Linked DNA regions of Styela clava. The protein of the gene in region 1 purifies or fractionates together with the protein of each later gene. This does not show direct contact. Links are inferred from orthologs where the notes say so. Each region holds a gene or a part of one and is shown in the gene's direction. Other genes may lie near its edges.

Region 1 (9,736 bases):
TGGCTATTACTTTTGTTTGCTATGACGTCATCAAAATTATGTGGTTCTACGTATCCATATATTTGAGTATAGCTCTCTTGTTGACTTGTTCTATAAACAATTGTTCGCAATCAGAGCTGGGTGTTTTCAAAAACCCAGTGGTTTCAGAATTGAATCGAATATATTTCGACTCAAATCTCGAATACTTGGAAATTGAATGCGAATTTTTTATTGAATTACTAAAAACATACACTCCATCACTCAGACAGTTGGTTTTGTGTTGCCACAGAATAAGAAACCTGTTTCATCAATAAATCCCTCGCCTGTCAATTTGTATTGTAAAAAATATGCTTTAACAAAAAATGACCAAACCGACTTAGATCTTTAGTAAACAAAAAAAAAGGTGGCGATTCCAAAAAAATACTATTCGATTTAAAATGCCCAACCGTATTCACATTCCACAGTGTTGGCTAAATACATGTAGACCTGTTGTTTTTGCAATTTAGTTGTTCAAATAAACTGCTGTAGACAATCTTCTATGAGTTGTACGACCTCTTAGCGAATTGAAGAAAATAAAATACTTTCCTAAAATTAATATATATATACTGCCAAATATCGCCATCCCATAATTTCATGATATTGTTTTTCAACAACATTTACGCATAAGTCAATTACTCAATTATCAAAGCAATGTGAGGCAAATGATTCCAGCATTGTTTCAGAACTATAACTACCAACCACGGCCATATTTTTTATTTTCATCAATACTTAGGTTATCGTACGAAATCGTTCGTACGTCTCGATCTGCATTAAAAAAATTCGTTACCGTAGCGACACCTATGATCAAACACTAAATGCGATACCAAAGTGAAGAGTCGGACGCCAAAATATGGATTTCGTAGCGGGGGCACGCCCGAGTACGCCAGTGCTCCCCGAAAATGCCCCTGAGTAAAATCCTTTTTGCTCGCCGGAAAATTCGTTTATTGCAAACCATTGCATCTGACGATGTGAAGGGCAGAAGTGTGGTTGAAGGAAACAGCCACCAACAAATAATGATGGCTAGTTTCAACATTGCAAACTAACTGATTATAGCAGGGGTTCTCAACTTTTTTCCTGTTAGCACCCCCGAGTCATGAAATAATCAACACGGACCCCAGTGATCGGTCAAACATAGTTTTAATATATTAACTAATGATTTTACTGTGTTTTTTTAAATCAGTGGTTCCCAACCAATGGTCCACGGACCGGCATCGGAACCAGAAGCTTTTTTGTCGGTCTGCGCGAAATTTTATTGTTTTTTAGTCGTCTCAGTCGCTTTAGCGAACCCGAAATAACGACGTTGTGTTTGTTTATTACGCGATTTCTCTGTCGCCGACATATTGCTGTTTGCGGTATCAATGGCCCGACGACATTTTGGCGCCGAGTAATCACACTTTTCGCTTCCGATTCATCCCGGAGCGTCCGCCAAATCTTGCAAGATTCAGAAAGCCGAAGATCGGCACATGTATTTTGCTGTTCTGCATGGTTTTCCTTCTTAATGTGGACATCCAAATAAAAGGTTATAGAAATTTCTTTGTTTAAATCAGAAAATATTCATGGATAGTATAATATTCCAGGGCTTTGCCTTGACATCCAGCAAAATATGAGCTTGTTGCGACCCTGCAGGTGGCCACAAGAAGCGCAACAAAAGCATGGGCCGCGTAGAATTTTTCCAGGCGATGCACAGCAGGATTGTGAACCTGGTGCTAAGTTACAAACGACTTTGTCATCATTCATTTTGTTTGATGCGTTGATTAACTGCAGAAGGATTAATATGAGATCAGTTAACCAGCAGGGCATTTTGATGTTTTTTAACAAGAACGAGGAGACAAAGTTCTTCTTCTAAACAAAGTTTCCTTTTTTCCATTTTTTTTTGTCGGCGCATTATTTGTTTTTATTCATGTGAAATGTTTTCAAGTGCCCAACATTACATTACATTTTGCAAATATATGTTGTTATTTTCTATTCCACTCATTCCAATTTTTTGCCGTCCGCGAGTACATTTTATTTAATTTTACCGGTCCGCCAGAGAGGTTGGGAACCAATGTTTTGAATGATATTAAACAAAAGTATTCATTTCATTTGTACAGAACATTAGTGTGAAGGCTGTCCCTGTTTATTGCGAATAAGTTTCTCAATTCGAAAAGCAAACAGTGCATTGTCCTTCGGGATTCCCCAGTTTGGCTGCAAAACTGTGAATTTCACATTGTTGAGTCACAACAATGCAAGATCGGAGAAAATCCACGCTGAGTTTTAATCGACACCCATTTTCCTTTGATAATAAAGAATATTGAAAAATAGCAACACATGAAAACTCAACTGTCATTCAAGTACCTTTCGCCATTATCAAACACCTCAAAACCCATGCCGACTAACAACTAAATGGATCTCTTTTGAAATACAAATGTTACATCCCAACCCTAGTTACATGTATGGTTAGGCATTGTTTCTCTTGAAGCGAGGTCTTTTGTAACCTTGCAAAATTTGTCTGTTTGTGCGTATTTTGATCTTTGACCTATGCGAAAATACGCATCGTCGCAGTCGTTTTGTGAGACCAGGAAATGGGGGGTCTCTGCCTTGGAATACAGGTCGGCCGGTGGGGATTTTATGGTGAAATTATTTTACACTTGTTTATTCAAGTTTTTTTTTTTCAAATACGGCTAGGCTATTCCTTCAGTTGCACGCTAGGAGTTCACGCGGTCTCGGTAGGTTTGCACTCAGATGTTTGGCGTGTCGGGGAAACTGCTTGTACGCCAAGACCCCTGATTTTTAGATTTGCACGCCTGTCCTGTCTGTACGGTACAGCTGTACGGTATCTGTCATTCCACAAATAACCAGCCAATGCCCAACCTTCCTGCTCTCTAAATGCCTTAAGAAAAATTTCATTCTGTCCTCCTTTCTAGGATTCAATTTCAAGCCCCAAACTGCTGAACTGTGCTTTTTTTAATAGACTATTAGGGTACGGTACAGTAATAACTAATAATAATATTGATGATAAATTATTTTTAGGATAGAATTAACATATTTATCCCGGGGGAGAGGAAAGCCGATAAGACGGCTTAACCATATGACTTAACACGGCCACTCGCAGTATCGTCTGGTTACTGTACCGGTATCATTCCATGTCGGGTACGGTACCGGTACCCTACGGTATGGGATTAGTTAACGTTAGTCGGTAGCCTATGGCTATAGTGGTGGTAGCATAAAAGTCATATTGGGGATGGCAAAATACGGTCGAAAGGTGGCAGATTAGGGATGGCAAATTAGGGTCGAAAACGAGTTGGCCTGGCTCAACAATTTTTGCATATGTCAATCCTAACCCCCGCCTGACTACGTCACTGAAAAATTACGCCATTCCGACGTCACAGTGGCGTAATACCGTAAGGCCCACCGAAGTACCGGTATGCGGATGGTCGTCCAAAACGCGCAGTCGAAAACCCGAAATCGAGCAAGCTATTTCTCTCGTTTTCTCGTCGCAACGATCACATAGGAGAGAGATCGCCGGCTTTAGCAAGTTCTTATCGGCGGCGCATATGCCATTTCGGGCGATCGTAATTATACTTTTGCAATCCCTATGACGTGATGGTGACGTCGTAGTGACGTAATTTTTGGATGGCATAGTCAGGCAGTCAGGTGAGGGTTAGGAATAACATATATGCAAAAATCGTTATGCTACGCCCACTGGAAGTACTTGTGGTACTAAACTATACTAGACCCGAATTTTGCATATGTTATTCCTAACTCCCACCTGACTATGTCATCCAAAAATTACGTCACTACGACGTCACCATCACGTAAGGCTTGCCAAAGTATAATTACGACAGTACGAACTCGCTCAAGTCGGCGATCTCTCTCCTATTGCTGTATTGTGATTGTTGTGACGAGGAAAAGAGAGAAATAGCTTGCTCGATCCGCATACTTTGGTGGGCCTTATTACGCCACTGTGACGTCAAAATGACGTAATTTTTCGGTGACGTAGTCAGGTAGGGGTTAGGATTGACATATGCAAAAATTGTCAATGTGGTACTAACTAAACTATACCAGACCCCACACAGACTATATATCTAAATCACTGTTCCGAGCAATGGCATGTGCCATTTATATGTTCAATACGAAACTTGATGCATATCGATATCCTATCAACTTTCCAAATCAGATACGAAAAGAAATTTCTTGTCGACTTACTTCGAATGTTTGCAACAAATTGAATGTTCTTGTTACTGCAACCATACCACCACCTGGAAATAAAAAAATAGTTATTGCACCAACCTGCTGACCTAATGAATATTATACAGGCTATGATATATGTAATTATCAAACAGCTTTTTCTGAATTCCATATTACTTGTCTTCTTCTATGACAAATGAATATTATTGAATTTATCTTTATTGAGTTCACTTTTAAACTGCGAATTTAAAATACTGTCTTGAGCTACAATGCATGTTGTTGCCTTATTCACATTCCAAATCAAATTCAAAGAAGACTTTATGTCGACTTTCTCTGGATGTTTTTGACAACTTGACTCAGAATGTTTTTTTTTGTGTGTGTGGGTGTATTCATATGTATACAATGATCACACCTCTATGACTGATTACACATAGTACCGCACCGGTACGGTACTTCGTCTAACTTAGTACATCATTGATCTGCTTATTCTATTTATATAATATTGTTATTAGAATTATATTACATGTCTTCTTTATCACCTCATCATGTGTTTATCAATGCCTGGCCTGAACTGCTCCACTCGACCGATTTGAATTTCACATTACCATAGCAACTAGTATACCTCAATCAATTTACACACTTCAGTGCCTGTCAATCGGGGAATCCCCGTAAGTTATCTGGTGGGCTCGATTAGAGATGTTGCCATGTACTATTCATGGTAGTCTCATAGGATTTAGGATAGGATATAACTTTCATGTCTCTTGGATGTGGTTCAACTGCCAAAGCCTGGTCATTCATATTAAAAGTGTTCTAAAAACGTAACTTCTTTAAAAAAAAATAAAGTTAAATATTGAACCTTGTGTGTTGCTGCTCGATAACCATTCCTGGTTCCCCGCGACTTCCCTTCCCCAGTAAAAATGTGTTTTCAGTTTTGTATTTTGTTAATTTCGTATGTTATTTTTTACTGAATGGGAAAAAATAAACTTGACTATGACTATGACTATTAGTATATCTAGATATACAGATATAGCCATATCTCAGATGTCGGTCTATACATCTGATACATCAGTACATAGACTACACCTGTACACTCAGAATCAGACATTGATACATGCAATAGGTTCTTTCACTTTCTGACTTCTATTCTCAAATATTTTCTTTTTATTTTTGGCCTGTAGACTACTTTGTTTGCAGACTACAGGACTAATATATAATATTCTTGATATGTCTGATTCTGAAGATGACACTGAAGACGTGCAATTAAAGTTTGTCGTTCTTGGAGATGGTTCGAGTGGAAAAACCTCACTGATTACTCGTTACACACAGGATCAATTTGGGCGTAATTATGAACAAACCGTTGGATTGGATTTCTTTCTAAAAAGAATAAGACTTACGAATAAGAAAAATGTCTCGCTAAAAATATGGGATATTGGCGGACAAACTCTTGGTGGAAATATGCTTGATAAGTATGTATTTGGTGCCCAAGGAGTACTGCTTGTATACGATGTTACAAATCACCACAGTTTTGAAAATCTTGAAGAATGGTATGAAATTGTTAAATCGATGGCCCATGATTCGCAACCACATTATGCCCTCGTAGCAAATAAATGTGATCTCGAGCACTTAAGAACTGTCACAAAAGATAAACATATGACATTTGCAACAAAAAACAAGTTGCAGAGTCACTATATATCAGCAAAAACAGGTGATTCTGTGGATCTTTGTTTTAAAATGTTGGCTGCTGACATTCTTGGGATCAAGTTAACAAGAGCAGAAACTGAACAAGCACATCGAATTGTAACAGCAGAAATTGCCAATTCTGCAAACTCAGAAGCAGTAAAAATAGCTTCAGTTCGAAGAAAACAACAAAAAAGCTCTTTTTGCTCACTTCAATAATTAATTTTGGCAATAAAAATTATATTTTATAAATAATCGATTTTAGTATGTATCTGAAAACATCTATTAATTCAAACGAGTCATTGCCCAAGTTGGTATACTCCTATTTCTTTGTTTTCTTGCTATTTAATGTTTAAGCCCCTATTATTTTAGTTTGTGAATTTATAAATAGTAAATATTTTTTCTCAGTATTTGAAAACGTCAAGTTAAGATTTTGCTTCAAAAGTCTTAAAACAATATCACCCTAAAACAGATTTGTCTTTATACATTTTTCAAAAATAGTTTCATATATCTTTTATTCTTACCTGGTTGTTCTTTAGTTAAATATGTGCTGTAGTAGGTGGACCAAACATTGTTTACATGTTGTTACACATTTCCTATTTTTAAATGGCAATGCATCTCATTAGAGTTTCAGTATACCTGTTCTGCAATGTCTTTATTATATATTATTTTCAGACTTTTTACCACTTTATCATCTTTTTTCATACCATTATTTTGTACGATATCACTACTTTTTCCTCTTGAAAGGTGCTCTGTGCGTTTCTCATCTCGGAATAGTCAATATGCATTTTATATTAATTGAATAACAGTTTTTAAAGATATGGGGTGCTAATTTATCTGGCCATCATATATCAACACATTTCGATAATTCTTCATACTGTCGCTAACCTTGTTCAGCCCTTTAATTTTAAACTCGTAATAATATTAGCTGATTGGCTTCAACTCTAGGTTGCAATGTAATGCCTTACCAAAAATTCAATGAAAATTAAAAAGGTGATTTTCAATTTTTTTTTATCCAACCAGTGAAAACCAATAAATTCAAGTAAAATTGGAAATTTCTGTAAATTTTAATACAGTTCAATCATATTGGGAAATATGGATAGTTTTAGGTTTTGTTTGTGAATTTTTCGAAATTCATTTTGGTTTATGAAATTTTGTCCTATGAGGCTATGAGTGAGTAGCATGATGAAATGAATACATTTCTGAATACTGTGATAGGCTTAGCCCTGTTTGTTTTGATTGTAGTATTTTAACAAGTAATGCACTGTACATGAATATTTCCATAAAACAGGGGTGCATAACCTCTACTCCATTGATAGACACGTATTACTGTATACTGAGGAAGGGTGCTAATGGTAAATAAAGAATTTCTTCAATTTTTTCTAAATAATATGATTCATTAATAATGCTTAAAAGTTTTTATAATTATATAAGTGCTGAGTTTCATGTGGTTGTAGCATTGCATTTTGTGCTTTCACTACTCCTCGAACATATTCGGGGTGGGGTGTAATCAAAGGTTTCATTACATTTGAACCCACGTACATTTGAACCCACGACAATTGCACCTACATACTTACAATTGCACCTATGGAGATCTTTTTTGTTTTACGGATATTTGAATCCATACTAACCCTGGCCCATGGGTTTTTGCACCCGCATATAGATTGAACCCGCGGATATACACATGGGTTCAAATGTACGTTGGTTCAAATGTACGGTCACCGTAATCAAAGTATGGTATGTCTTATTCTGTAAGTTTTTTATAGAAATGTTCAAATGTAATAGGCAATAGCAATCGCAACTTGTACCACGTTTTATGCTGACTAGTTTTTAGTTGTATCTTATTCTTGCACTCTTATCACACATTTAATAACTGTGCTTGATACATAATTTGTTTTAATTTTTTAGACCTAAGATTAGTAGTCCTCCTTTGTAATTCACCATGGAAGATAGTAAAGTATTTACTGGACTGGTGGAAAACCAACCTCTGGATCTTGATCAACGTGAGGCCGACCTGGATATGTATTATCCTGATTTAGAAGATCTTCAACTTCTAGCAAGTGAAGATATGCTTGAAACTGTCGGAGAACATATTCAGGAGAATCTTGAGGATGACCTTGTCAAAGAGGCTTTGGAAAAAGGTGTAGATCTTCGAGAGTATGCGAAGAATATTGAGAAAGACTTGACGAAAGTGGAAAAGGATTCGATACAGGATTATATAAGAGAAAGTAAAAGAGTTGCCGACCTCCATAAACGAATCGGCTCTTGTGAGTCTGTTTTGGAAAGAATGGAGGGAATGTTACATGGTTTTCAACATGCATTAAGCAGTATAAGCTCTGAAATTCAATCATTGCAGGTTAGTAACATTAGGATTTTTATATCTATACCATGTAACATTTTTATCATATGATGAATCATGGTCTCGTAATCTGTGATTCGTGACTTTGACATAATACATCAGATTTTAACTTTATATTATTAATAAATTGAATGATATTATTGCTGGTGAGACATGTCGATTTCAAAGTAATCCACCAATGTTAGCTAGCCTTCCTATCTATTTCAGTCAATTATAATGTTGATTTTCATTGATGAGCTTTGAGGCTTCCTTTTTATGATCAGGCAGGGCAAGGATATCATGATCTCATGACCAATTGTTAATAATATCCGTAAAAATCCTGAGCAGTTTTATAAATGACTGTATTCCCATTCAGTATTGGTTAATAATATCCAAGAAAAGATCTACTCTATGATATTGCATTTTATTATTATCATATGATTTAGGATTCTCAAAGTAATATATCTTTCTCCATGCAAATGGAGACCCCCAAAGCAAAATTTTCGAGACACATAGAAGAAGCTTTCCATTTTATGAGGAATGTACTCAAAAACAACTTTGAATTACCGTAATATGAAAATATCTCGTCACAATTTTTGTTTTAGTAGATATTCATCATTTACAGAGATTCCTCAAGGTTAATGACAACTAATTAACTAAACAACTAAATTCAATTTTTTATTGATCTTAGGAACAATCCATCACCATGAATATGAAGCTCAAAAACAGACAATCTGTGAAAAGCGAGTTGAGTCAACTTGTTGATGAAATGGTTGTTCCTGAAGCAATGATCACAGCAATATTGGAAATTCCCGTCACAGAAAGAGAATTTTTAGAGCAATTACATGAACTCAATCATAAAATCAAATTTTTAAAACAACATTCGTTCAACGATACCTTGGCATGTCGTGATGTTAGTGACACAGTACAAAAACTTAAATTCAAAGCTGTTGCTAAAATTCGTGAATATTTGCTTCAAAAAGTTTATTCATTTCGTAAGCCTATGAGTAACTATGAAGTACCGCAAAATGCAATGTTGAAATCAAGGTTTTATTATGAGTTTTTGTTATCCAATGAAAGAGCCATTGCGAAAGAGGTACAAGAGGAATATGTTGATACTATGAGCAAAGTTTATTTCTCATATTTTAAAACCTATGTTTCTCGATTAATGAAAGTGCAATATGATGAAGTAGCTGATAAAGATGATCTAATAGCAATTGAAGACACTGCACGTCGTGGATTTTTCTCCTCAAAAATGCCACTAAAAAATCGAGCTACTATATTTACATTGGGGGGAAGAGGAAGCATTTTGACTACTGATTTAGAATCTGCAGTCATAGTACCTCATGCAGCCCAAAGAATTGACAAAAGATATCCGTTTGAAAGTTTATTTCGGAGTGAACATTATGCATTCATGGATAACTGCTGTCGTGAATATCTTTTTCTATGTGATTTTTTTCTCGTCACCAAGGCAAGCGCACAAGAAATGTTCAACAGCGTTATGGGAAAGACGATTTCAATGTTGATGAAACATGT
Region 2 (10,094 bases), on another chromosome or scaffold:
CGCGTTGTAAGGCTGTAACACTTCTTTCAGTACAGCCGATATCCCGCAAGCCGTGCGATCAACGATTGGTACAAAGCTGTGAAATCTCTCGGTAAATAATAAATAAATTTTATACATTGAGTCGAGCAAATCATTTTGGATATCCTTAAAAGTCCCTTTCGAAACAGTTGCGGCATCAAGATGATCTCTCAATACTGTATCTAGGGATGCGGTGTATTCCACCATATCCAAAAATACCCCTCTATTAGAAGAGCCAGCCCGTTCATCGTGCCCACGAAGGGACAGCTCGTGACAACCAATGAACTTCAAAACATCTATCAATCGACCGAGAACATGGCGGTTTTTCTCGACGTTTTGGTTGTGCCGACGAATAGAAACCGCGCGTCCTTCATCCAACTGTGCTGCAATATTAACATTTTCGAATGTTCGGTATTTTACTGCATTGTCCAGATGCTCCATAGAAGATTGATGATCCCTGGCACGCTCGGAAAGATGTTTAAGATCTCTAAAACCAAATTTACACCAACGTGAGTCTGGGGCGGTAGCAAAAAGTAGGCAATAAAAACAAAAAAGTGCATTTTTGTCCTCGCTGTAACACAACCATTCGTGTTTTTTATACCAAGTTTCTGCGCAGAATGTACGCCGACGCTTTCCTCCGTCATGGGATTGTTCCAGTGAACAATTTTTTGGTTGATAAGGCCCAAGACGTTGTACCTCTAATTTTTGTTCCAGCGGCAGCTGCGAAAACGGAGTGCGAAGTAGTGCATCAACCTTATTCATTATGAGGTCTAAGGCTAAGAAATGCGAAGCCGGATAGAGGTGAGGAGCTCAAAAGGAATGTGGAAAATCGAAAGCAAATGGACTAAAGGTCTCTAACTGATTCAAATAGCGAAACACGCGACAAAAACGAAGGCGAGGAAACTATCAAATCTTCAAGCAACCAACGAACGAGAAGGAATGCGAGAATATGTCAACACATTTTTGTAAGAAACGTTGGCATTGTGTCGTCATAATTTCGGGGCTAGCCCCGATGATTTTGTAAAAGAAACAGAAAACAAACGCGGCGAGTGGAAGATAAAAGAGAGAATACGATATACAATGAGCAACCGGGGCAAAATCGGCGTCGCCCCGTCGACGTTCGGCGAAGGCTTTGCGAGCGAAAAATGAACCACGTCGGGAGAATATGGCTGGTGTAGACAGTCTGTGCAACCGATATTGAGGTATTTTTCGAATATTTTTTATTATACCGAAAAAACAACCGGGGCATTGCCCCGGTTGGCCCTATTGACGCGCCGCCACTGATTTTAGCCATCATCAACGACAACATCCCAATTTGTTTAAGATAAATTTCACAAATTATTTTCAAATTCAAAATAGAAAATATTCACTTTTACTTATTACACAAGTCATGATCATTACCATCAAGGCACATAAATGAGAGCAATAATATTTAACACTCAAATTCAAGTTAAAGCCACTACTCAGTCACATAGTCTTTCATCCAAATATGAGGTTTACGATTTCGACGAGGTCTGGTTGCAACACGATTCACGATTATTTTTAGAAGAGTTGAATGAATGAATGAATTGATCTTCATTCGTGTTTGTAGTCCTTTTCAGCATATTCTTCAGAATCTTCACCCACGATTCAGCTTTTCCATTCGCTTGTTGATGCACATGCGAAGAGCTTGCATGCTTGACTCTTCACTCTCTCATGAATTCGACGAGTTCAGTACTTTCAGTACTTTCACAATCTGGGATAAATATCCATGATAAATACCATGTCTGGCAAAATGACGTTTTAGACATATGATGATTTGACGTTATTTATATTCTGGACACCTTCTTCAAGCGTTTTTATTTTGGTCATGTTTCTTCATTTATCGAACATGGCTTAAGGTTCTACACTTCACCCGGAAATTATTTCTATCATTGCACGGGGGACATGTTTTCACGTAGACAGGGCAAAAATATTCAGAACCTGCGCCTTCGTCCACAAAATTTGAACTCTTAGTTTGCATTCGGAATTCGCTTTTTGTGTTGCTGAGCTAGGTTCATATTTCGGCGTTGTAAATTTTGAGTCGACAAAATTCGTTGCTCGCTTTCCGATGATGCACGAATCTTGGATGCAGAATTTCTTGTAATTTGCCATTCAATGTACATACGTTTTTCATTTCTTATCATTCGCACCTTGTTTTTTAAAATTACAGGAATCGCTTTACTACGAAATTCAACGAGAAATGTATTAATATTGTCTTTGTACTGGGCATTGAAAAAGCGAAATGTCTCTATCACTTCATTCTTCCGGAGATTATAGTATTCAGTAGGGCTGGGAATGGTTAACCGGTTAACCGATTTCAGATGGTTAACGGTTACGATTTATTTTAATCCTTAACTGACATCTCAGGTACAAATCATCTTCATACCGTACAATTTCTTCAAATATGATTACGTCATCGCAAATTTATCTCTTGTGGCATTTAATGAATATTATTAACTGTGTGAGTAAGGACTGTGCATAATGGAAGTACCAAGATTGCTGATTATGGAAATCTGACAATGATGAATTCAGAATCAGTTTTCGGTCGATTTCGAAATAGTGTTTACGATTTCATTGCAAAATCGGATATTCAATGTCATACAACAAGTGCGCAGTTGATGGCGTTTTTCTTTATATGATATATACTCCGAAGTAAAATTTGCACATCGAACACTGATAATTTGTGACATAAATGACGTTTAACAACGGAATCAGGTATTCTAAAATACTTCCACATGCCCGAACCACGCTGCCTATCTCGTGCAGCAGAGTAATCATGAAACTATCTCGATTCGTGAATAATTTTAATAAGCGATACCGGGATAAGAACACGCGAAATTGCTTTATAAGCATTGAGACGTAACAGGCAGAAATTATAGATTATTACGTCAAACGTCACGCGGCGGTTAACCGGTTAATTTACCCGGTTAACGGTTAAAGTGTTTTCCCTGAAATTCCCAGCCCTAGTATTCAGCCATCTTCTGTAGTCATCTTCGTCTTCAGTCTCACTATCATTTCAGCACCTGCAATATGAGATTATGGGATTTTGTTCTTCCTTTAGGTCCGCTGGCTCATGAAAATATTTGATCTGGCTCTTCCATTTCTTGAATGCTCCTGATCGACAGTAAGCGAATTTCAGACACCGCTGCCACCATGTAAATTGAGACATTGCGCCAGCTGAAGGATGTCTTAGGCCTAGGCCTATGTCAAATAGGCCTTTTTCAAAAATTTGGTGAGCGGTCTCGGATAGCAACTTTCCACACTCAAAATCAGAAGAAAAGAGCCTACAAAACTATTGAATGGTAGAAAGTTTGCAAAAAGAAAAGGATCCGAACTCTGGTAGAGTCCCCAACGTGAATATCTATTTCGACGATCATGGCCGCCGAAATACCATGCGCGTCGCGTTTGCATTGTTGTATCCGATTGAATTTTGTATTGTATTGGAATTTAGATACCCAGACTTATGCTGCACACTCTTCGTATATCTTTTCTCAGATGTATAACCTATTTATGATCTTGGTATGATTTGGGTTTATGGGAATAAACAACATTGACCCAGGACTTCCATTGTCTAAAAAAACTCTAAATCCGGCCCTGTCCTTCGACATGGATATTTCCTACATACCGATTTGTTGTTATTAAAAGATCATGTCGACACTAGTGCTTTATCTCAGGGCTTCCCAAACTAGGGGCCGCGAAACGAATTTTAGGGGCCGCAAAGAGAACACCAATTTTACACAAAATACCATATATATTGACTATTGTACTTTTTTCAGACTCTTGATTCGAAATACAATTATTATACAAATAGTGTAAAACAAAGATTTCACGATTCCGAGTGAATACATCATCATAATACCGTGTTTTTCCAAAAATAAGACACTGTCTCCAATTTTCTTTCGAAAATAACACTAGGGCTTATTTTTGGGATACAGAATAATGAGATTTTTTTATTATATATATATGCAAAATATGAATACCTATTTCCATTTACTTATAAATAGCACGTTTTTATTTTAAATACCTGCTACATATAGACTTTTACCCATTTAAAAAAGTAGAAAATATTTCTTGCTATCGACTGGGACGCAGTGGTTCTCGAACTTCATTGTATTGTGACGCCCTTCAAAAATATGCTCATATAAACGATTAAACAAAACTTAACGACAGTCAGTGAAATCGCAATTAATGGGCCTTGGTAGAAAAGGCTGCTTTATATAAATACGAAATCGCAAAGAAGTTGGGAGTGCGCAATGCTTTTGGAACCAAGGACAAATAATCTTTATCTACAGAAAACCGAATTTCCAGAATAAAACATTCCTATTATAGCAACATCACAGGTAGGATCGATTTAATCTTTCTTTTTTCCAGTGAAAGTAGAAGATATGGGTTTTTGAAAGGTTCACGAATCACGAAATTTTGCGACGTCCTAGCAAAATTAAAACGACGCACTTCCACGAGATTGAGTCAAAAAAAAAAAAAAATTCGCGCTATCGACTAAGTCCTTTTTGAAGCCGAGCTCTTATATTGAAATCTTTTTAAAATTCAACCTTGGTCTTATCTTCGGGGAAACACGGTAGAATGATGGCGCTTGCATAACAATGCATATTCTGATCGTGAAACCCGATTTGCGGTTTGCATAACAATGACGGCTCTAATCGTTATGCTAGCGGTTTCCGAAGACGATTTGCTGAGTGCGCCTCGAAACATATTACATATCATATTTATTCTAAATGTTTAATTGTTTCAAATGACGTGTTTATGGATCAAAGTCATTTTGCCGTTCTATGTGTTTACTTTCTGTACGTAGGGTCTATTGTTACGTAATATAAGAGATGAACCCTACATGCTGCAACCAGGCAGTGATAAAAAAGAAACGTTAACTTTTTGCCTTTATTCATCGGGCTTACATGATTAAAAACCTCAAAAGACATTTAGTTCATATTAACGATGACAAAATTGTGTTTTGTTTCGAGGCAGTATATTTTTCGTGTAGGTGCGCCATGAGTTTTTTCCCTGATAATTTGGCGTCGAACAAAATGCTGCCTTATGCTAAGTTTGATCAATTAGAGTGAACAATTCGAGATAAGGACCATGCCGTCAGTAGCCATACAACGTAATTCATCATTTAGGCCTGTATAAACATACATTGAGCCTTGCTATGCAGCAAAAAGCATTCGTACCCATTACACTGAATAATTGAGAAACGTTAATCTGAATAAATATATGCTTGTTTTTGTTATTGAGTAGACATGTTAAAGTTGAGAATTAGCTCTGCCAATAAAACATCAAAAAGGCATAATTCGAACTGTTTGGCATTATTTAACGTGGACAAGGGCCGCGAAAAATTTTACTATATTAAAAGGGGCCGCGAGCTCAAAAGTTTGGGGAGCCCTGCTTTATCTGGTAGAAATTTACGTTTGGCCAATGATGATTGTGACAGCACGAGCAAGTTTGAAGGCTTGCACATTTTGAGTAGACTTCTCGACTTCATGGGTATATTGAATTTCGTGGATTTTTTTTTGGATTAATTGGTTTTGTTGTTGGTAACTTTGAATTTTTGCTCGAGTACTCTTTAAGAAAACCAAATTTCACTTTGCTCACGAATGTTCAGGATAAATTTCACTGTAAATGTTCATATATATCGACCGAACACAGGAACATGACAACAGCAAATCTTTGCCAGAAATGTGACAGGCATAGGGGATTATTGCGTTTCGATATAATCCCCTATTTGTATGTTAATCTACTAGCGATCGAATTCGCTTCGACACCATTTATCAATACCGAAAACTGCATACCAGTATGCAACGTTTTTCTGTCAGTTATCGATCGTTTGAACGTGGCCTACACATTATAAAATGTGTACTGTGAGAGACAGTCAGTAAGACGCCATCTTGCCTCATTGTGCGATGCCTTTTCGAGTTTCGTCTGACTGCCTGGGGTATATCGCTCTACAGTCTAACAGTAAATAGCAACCAAGGGCTCGTTCTGCTGTATTGCAGTGTCTATATCTATACTAGCAAGTAGTGAAGTTAGTTCTGTAGCCACAAATAAGGGCACTTCACTAGGATATGTATTAGTAGGATGGCATTATCTTCACTACTCTTAATAACAATATATAGAATATATATATACAAGAAATGCTTAGTCATGTTAGCACAAATAACTGAATACGGGCACTGGGATATGTATTAGTAGGATGGCATTATCTTCACTACACATAATGACATAGTCACATTACAGCATTTGTAATTAGGTACCGTATTCTGAAACTGTAATTACTTGTCCAGTTACCGTATATCTGCAACAAAGGCTTGAACTACTGGACTTGAGTTATTCGAGTGACAAAATTAGCTTAGTACGTGGTAATTTAATACCTGGATTACAAATATGACTACAGAAAAGGCCAAAAATATATTGGAAGGTTTTCAACTGTAAGTTTTTGTTCAATATTTACATTAGGCAGTCTTAAATGATTGAAATACATTGGATGATCGAAATAAAAATGGAATTGTAATGTTTCATTGTAATACAGTACCGTACTTTATGATATTTGCATATGTTTTGAAATATTTTACTGCAGGTTTTGATGTTTTATATATTTCAAATCACTGCTGTGGTTATTCATGATCCGTCTTGATTCTCAACATTGAGCTTTCTATGAGAAAATTATCTTGATTTAGTATTTTTCTGTTTTCCTTTTTTACTGTTATTGATTACTTTGTTCAAATAACTTAGGGAACTGAATTCAGCAAATATTATTTAAGAGCTGTAGGTAAATATTCACAGACTGTAAACAGCACTAAATACAGAAATAGCACACAAATATGAATTATCATAACTGTCTGTCTGTAAAAAATCTATGCTACAATCTTCTGTGTATTTAAATATTTATTTATTCAAGATTCATGTATCAATTTTCAACTTTTTATTTATAGAAATTGGATGAATTTGCGCGATGCCAGTTCTGGCCGAGTTTTATGGCAGGGCAGCGAAGATTTGTCAAAGCCAGAGCAGGAGCACGAAGGTAACATGGTTTGCAGAATTGGTAAAATATTGATGAAATATTTTTTCCCCATCTGTATTGCGCAATATATGTATTAAGTTGGGTCAATTATCATAGATGATAAAAGTTCATTATGCCACCACAGCAAATGTTGAAAAAGAAATTCCAGTCCAGTTTTCAAAATATAAGGCTACCACAAGACAAAAACAAATTGATTAGCAGACCTCAGCCTATTTTTTTTGTTACTTTTTGGCAGTGATGTTCATGGTGAGCGGCTTTAAAATTTGATGTTGTCATTAAAATTTATTGGGTCATTTATGCTCAAAATTAGCTGTGTAAATATGTGGCCTCACATCCTCTGTTATATTTGTTTATCAATATTATTTTTAGCTCGAGTACCTAAAAAAATATTGAAATGCAAAGCTGTGTCAAGAGAAATCAATTTTTCCTCAAAAGAGTCTATGGAAAAATTCAGACTGGAACAAAAAATAATTTTCAAAGGAAGAGTACTTGAAGGTATATTTTGCTACATTTTTGTTTTTAGTAATTCTGAACTAGTATTGGCATTTTAAGTCAATCACTTATTGTGAAACACATTGTTGTTACTCACCGTGTTCTGTTGAGTGGATGACCCTTTACTGAGAAACCTCAACCTCTCTAACTGACTACTCAATGAGGGATTTTTAGCATTTTGAGTATACATGCGTTTTATGGAATAGTAACTAATTTATTCTGAACTTCCTAATTAATCACATATTCATTTTGCAAGAGTATGAATAGGTATAATTTTCTAATATGTTCTTGTTAAATTCTTGGATACTGGTTCCCGTAGTGTGTGTACCAGGTTAGGGTTAGGCCATAATTTTATTCTGATTTTCATCATTTTAGTTCTATTACGAGTCTGGGGCCTGTTGTGTTAGCCAAGTAAAAATACCCCCTGCCCATAGCTTGCAGTCCCTTTATACAACTTGATGTAAATTAGGCGAACAAAATTAGTTACCTCCATACACGTACTTCTGGAGCTCCAATTCTTGTACTAACAACTGTATTATCGAACCATACCTGCCTAACAAAGTTTATATCTTCTTTATCTTCCACTGTTTAATAGTTTTATAATGTGGTATTTGATAATGTATGAATCATAATTCATTATATTGCAGAATGGTATTTCCAATTTGGATTTGTGATTCCTGATTCAACAAATACATGGCAGTCGACAATTGAAGCTGCACCACAGGGGCAAATGATGCCTGCTAGTGCTTTAAGGTAACATCTTAACAAGTTTTGTTCCGCTCTTTGGAAATACTCAATGTACAAATAATATCAATTTAATGAATTGGATGCATATGCTGAACTATATAGAAAATAGTTATGTTTCAGGATGTGATGTTTGCTCTTTCATTTTATCCAGTGCAGACATTCAACCCCAAAGGTACTCCCGTATTTGTGTATCCGGTTAGGGTTAGGCCATAATTTTATTCCGGTTTTTCTTATTTTAGTTCTATTTAGCCATGTGAATATACCCCCTGCCTATAACTTTCAGTCTCTTTACATAACTTGATGTGAAGTAAGCGAACAAAATTGGTTACTTTCATATTGGTACACACACTTCCCTTTCTGATAAATGGGTTGAAAATTATATTTTTATTGTAGAAAAGAAGACCATGGGTCATAGCTATTTAAAAAAATTTGGCATCAATGAGAAAGTTGCTGTTGCAAATTTACTTATAATCTTTTGTTGGTATTGTGTACTTTCATGCTTTCACATGCACCATTCATATCAGGACTGAGGCAATTCTGGTAGTCCATTTACTCAAAAGCGCGCTTTGCATTGTTATGAACTGCCAAAATGGTGCGGCAATCTTTCTGTGGTTTTAAATGGGTTTGGAAGAGCATTACAGTCTGAAATATTTGCATTTTTCAATAGTATTTTAACCGCATCATAGTCACTACAATCCAGCTCTATTGTTGCTTGAGATTTCTGTGGATGTTACGTATTTGCTTGATCCTAGCTATCGATTATCATATTCTCTTTACATGATTTTGCTTTTATTTTTTCAGCGGAAATGTTATTATAGAAACCAACTTTTATGATGAAGATCTTCTTGTGAGTCAATCACGTGTTCGAGTATTTTATGTGTAATGTCAGCTTCCCCTGCAACTGAATATTCACACTTACCTTATTACTACGAATGGTCAAAAAATCACAACATTGAGTGAATTATCAAAGTTACAGGGAATGACTATGCAAAATCAAATGGAATCTACGAATTTAATTTTTAAGCGCATTTGACTAAGCACTGCAATAGCTAAATAGATGTTAGATTCACTCAGTCTAGATATTCACTGTTAGTTTCATTTATGATATTAAAAATTAGGTACTCCCGAAGTATGTGAACCAAGGTGGCGGACACTGAACCGTAGTATGTGTACCAGGTTATGGTTAGGCTATATTTTCAGGTACGAATACTACAGGGATCCCTTGGGAGTCACATAAGGTAAATTGGAATAAAATTATGGCCAACCCCTAACCTGGTACACATACTACGTTCTGGTGTTCGTCATCTTTGTTCACATACTACGGGAGTACCAAAAATTAATCTGTAATCCTATCATCATTCGTATGTGATGTTTTAAATCAAAACGTGAGAGAGTTCAAATTTTTATTTGTTTATGTGTTACTGAGTCTCTATCTATAAAGCTGAATTGAGGCTTTTTATTTGTTGCCAAGGAATTCATTTTTTAAGTTTATTCTAACAAATTTTACTTATTAATGGTAAAGGGTACATCTGACCAGCAGTTTTGTCATCAATTAGATATTTCCAAGATGCAACTGTGGCGATTGTACAATTGCAACTTGTTTTAATATATTATTTCTATCTTATGCACTTTCATATGTCTACAATTTTACCAATTCAAGACAAAAAGCGGGTGCTAAATATTGTACAGACATTTTTTGTATTTTAAGTTTTTGTAACCAGTGTTTCTCACAAGTGTGTGTGTGTGAATTCTGTAAAAATGCACCTGTCCGGGAAGGGACCTTGTT

The links.
Region 2: the proteins of ras-related protein Rab-28-like (region 1) and retinal rod rhodopsin-sensitive cGMP 3',5'-cyclic phosphodiesterase subunit delta-like purify together in Homo sapiens (affinity purification with mass spectrometry; 3 studies listed by BioGRID and IntAct, with this or other methods). This does not show direct contact. The link is inferred for Styela clava from reciprocal best matches to the Homo sapiens genes RAB28 and PDE6D.

What each region holds. Positions count from the first base shown.
Region 1 is NC_135262.1:19,598,173-19,607,908, reverse strand, and holds ras-related protein Rab-28-like, read left to right. Parts: upstream 1-5,343; 5' UTR 5,344-5,409; coding exon 5,410-6,081; 3' UTR 6,082-7,771; downstream 7,772-9,736. Other genes in the region: vacuolar protein sorting-associated protein 52 homolog, read left to right, coding at 7,805-8,218, 8,892-9,736.
Region 2 is NC_135252.1:5,209,014-5,219,107, reverse strand, and holds the start of retinal rod rhodopsin-sensitive cGMP 3',5'-cyclic phosphodiesterase subunit delta-like, read left to right. Parts: upstream 1-6,029; 5' UTR 6,030-6,432; coding exon 6,433-6,476; intron 6,477-6,980; coding exon 6,981-7,069; intron 7,070-7,438; coding exon 7,439-7,564; intron 7,565-8,208; coding exon 8,209-8,314; intron 8,315-9,109; coding exon 9,110-9,191; 3' UTR 9,192-10,094. UniProt on the Homo sapiens protein: Promotes the release of prenylated target proteins from cellular membranes. Modulates the activity of prenylated or palmitoylated Ras family members by regulating their subcellular location.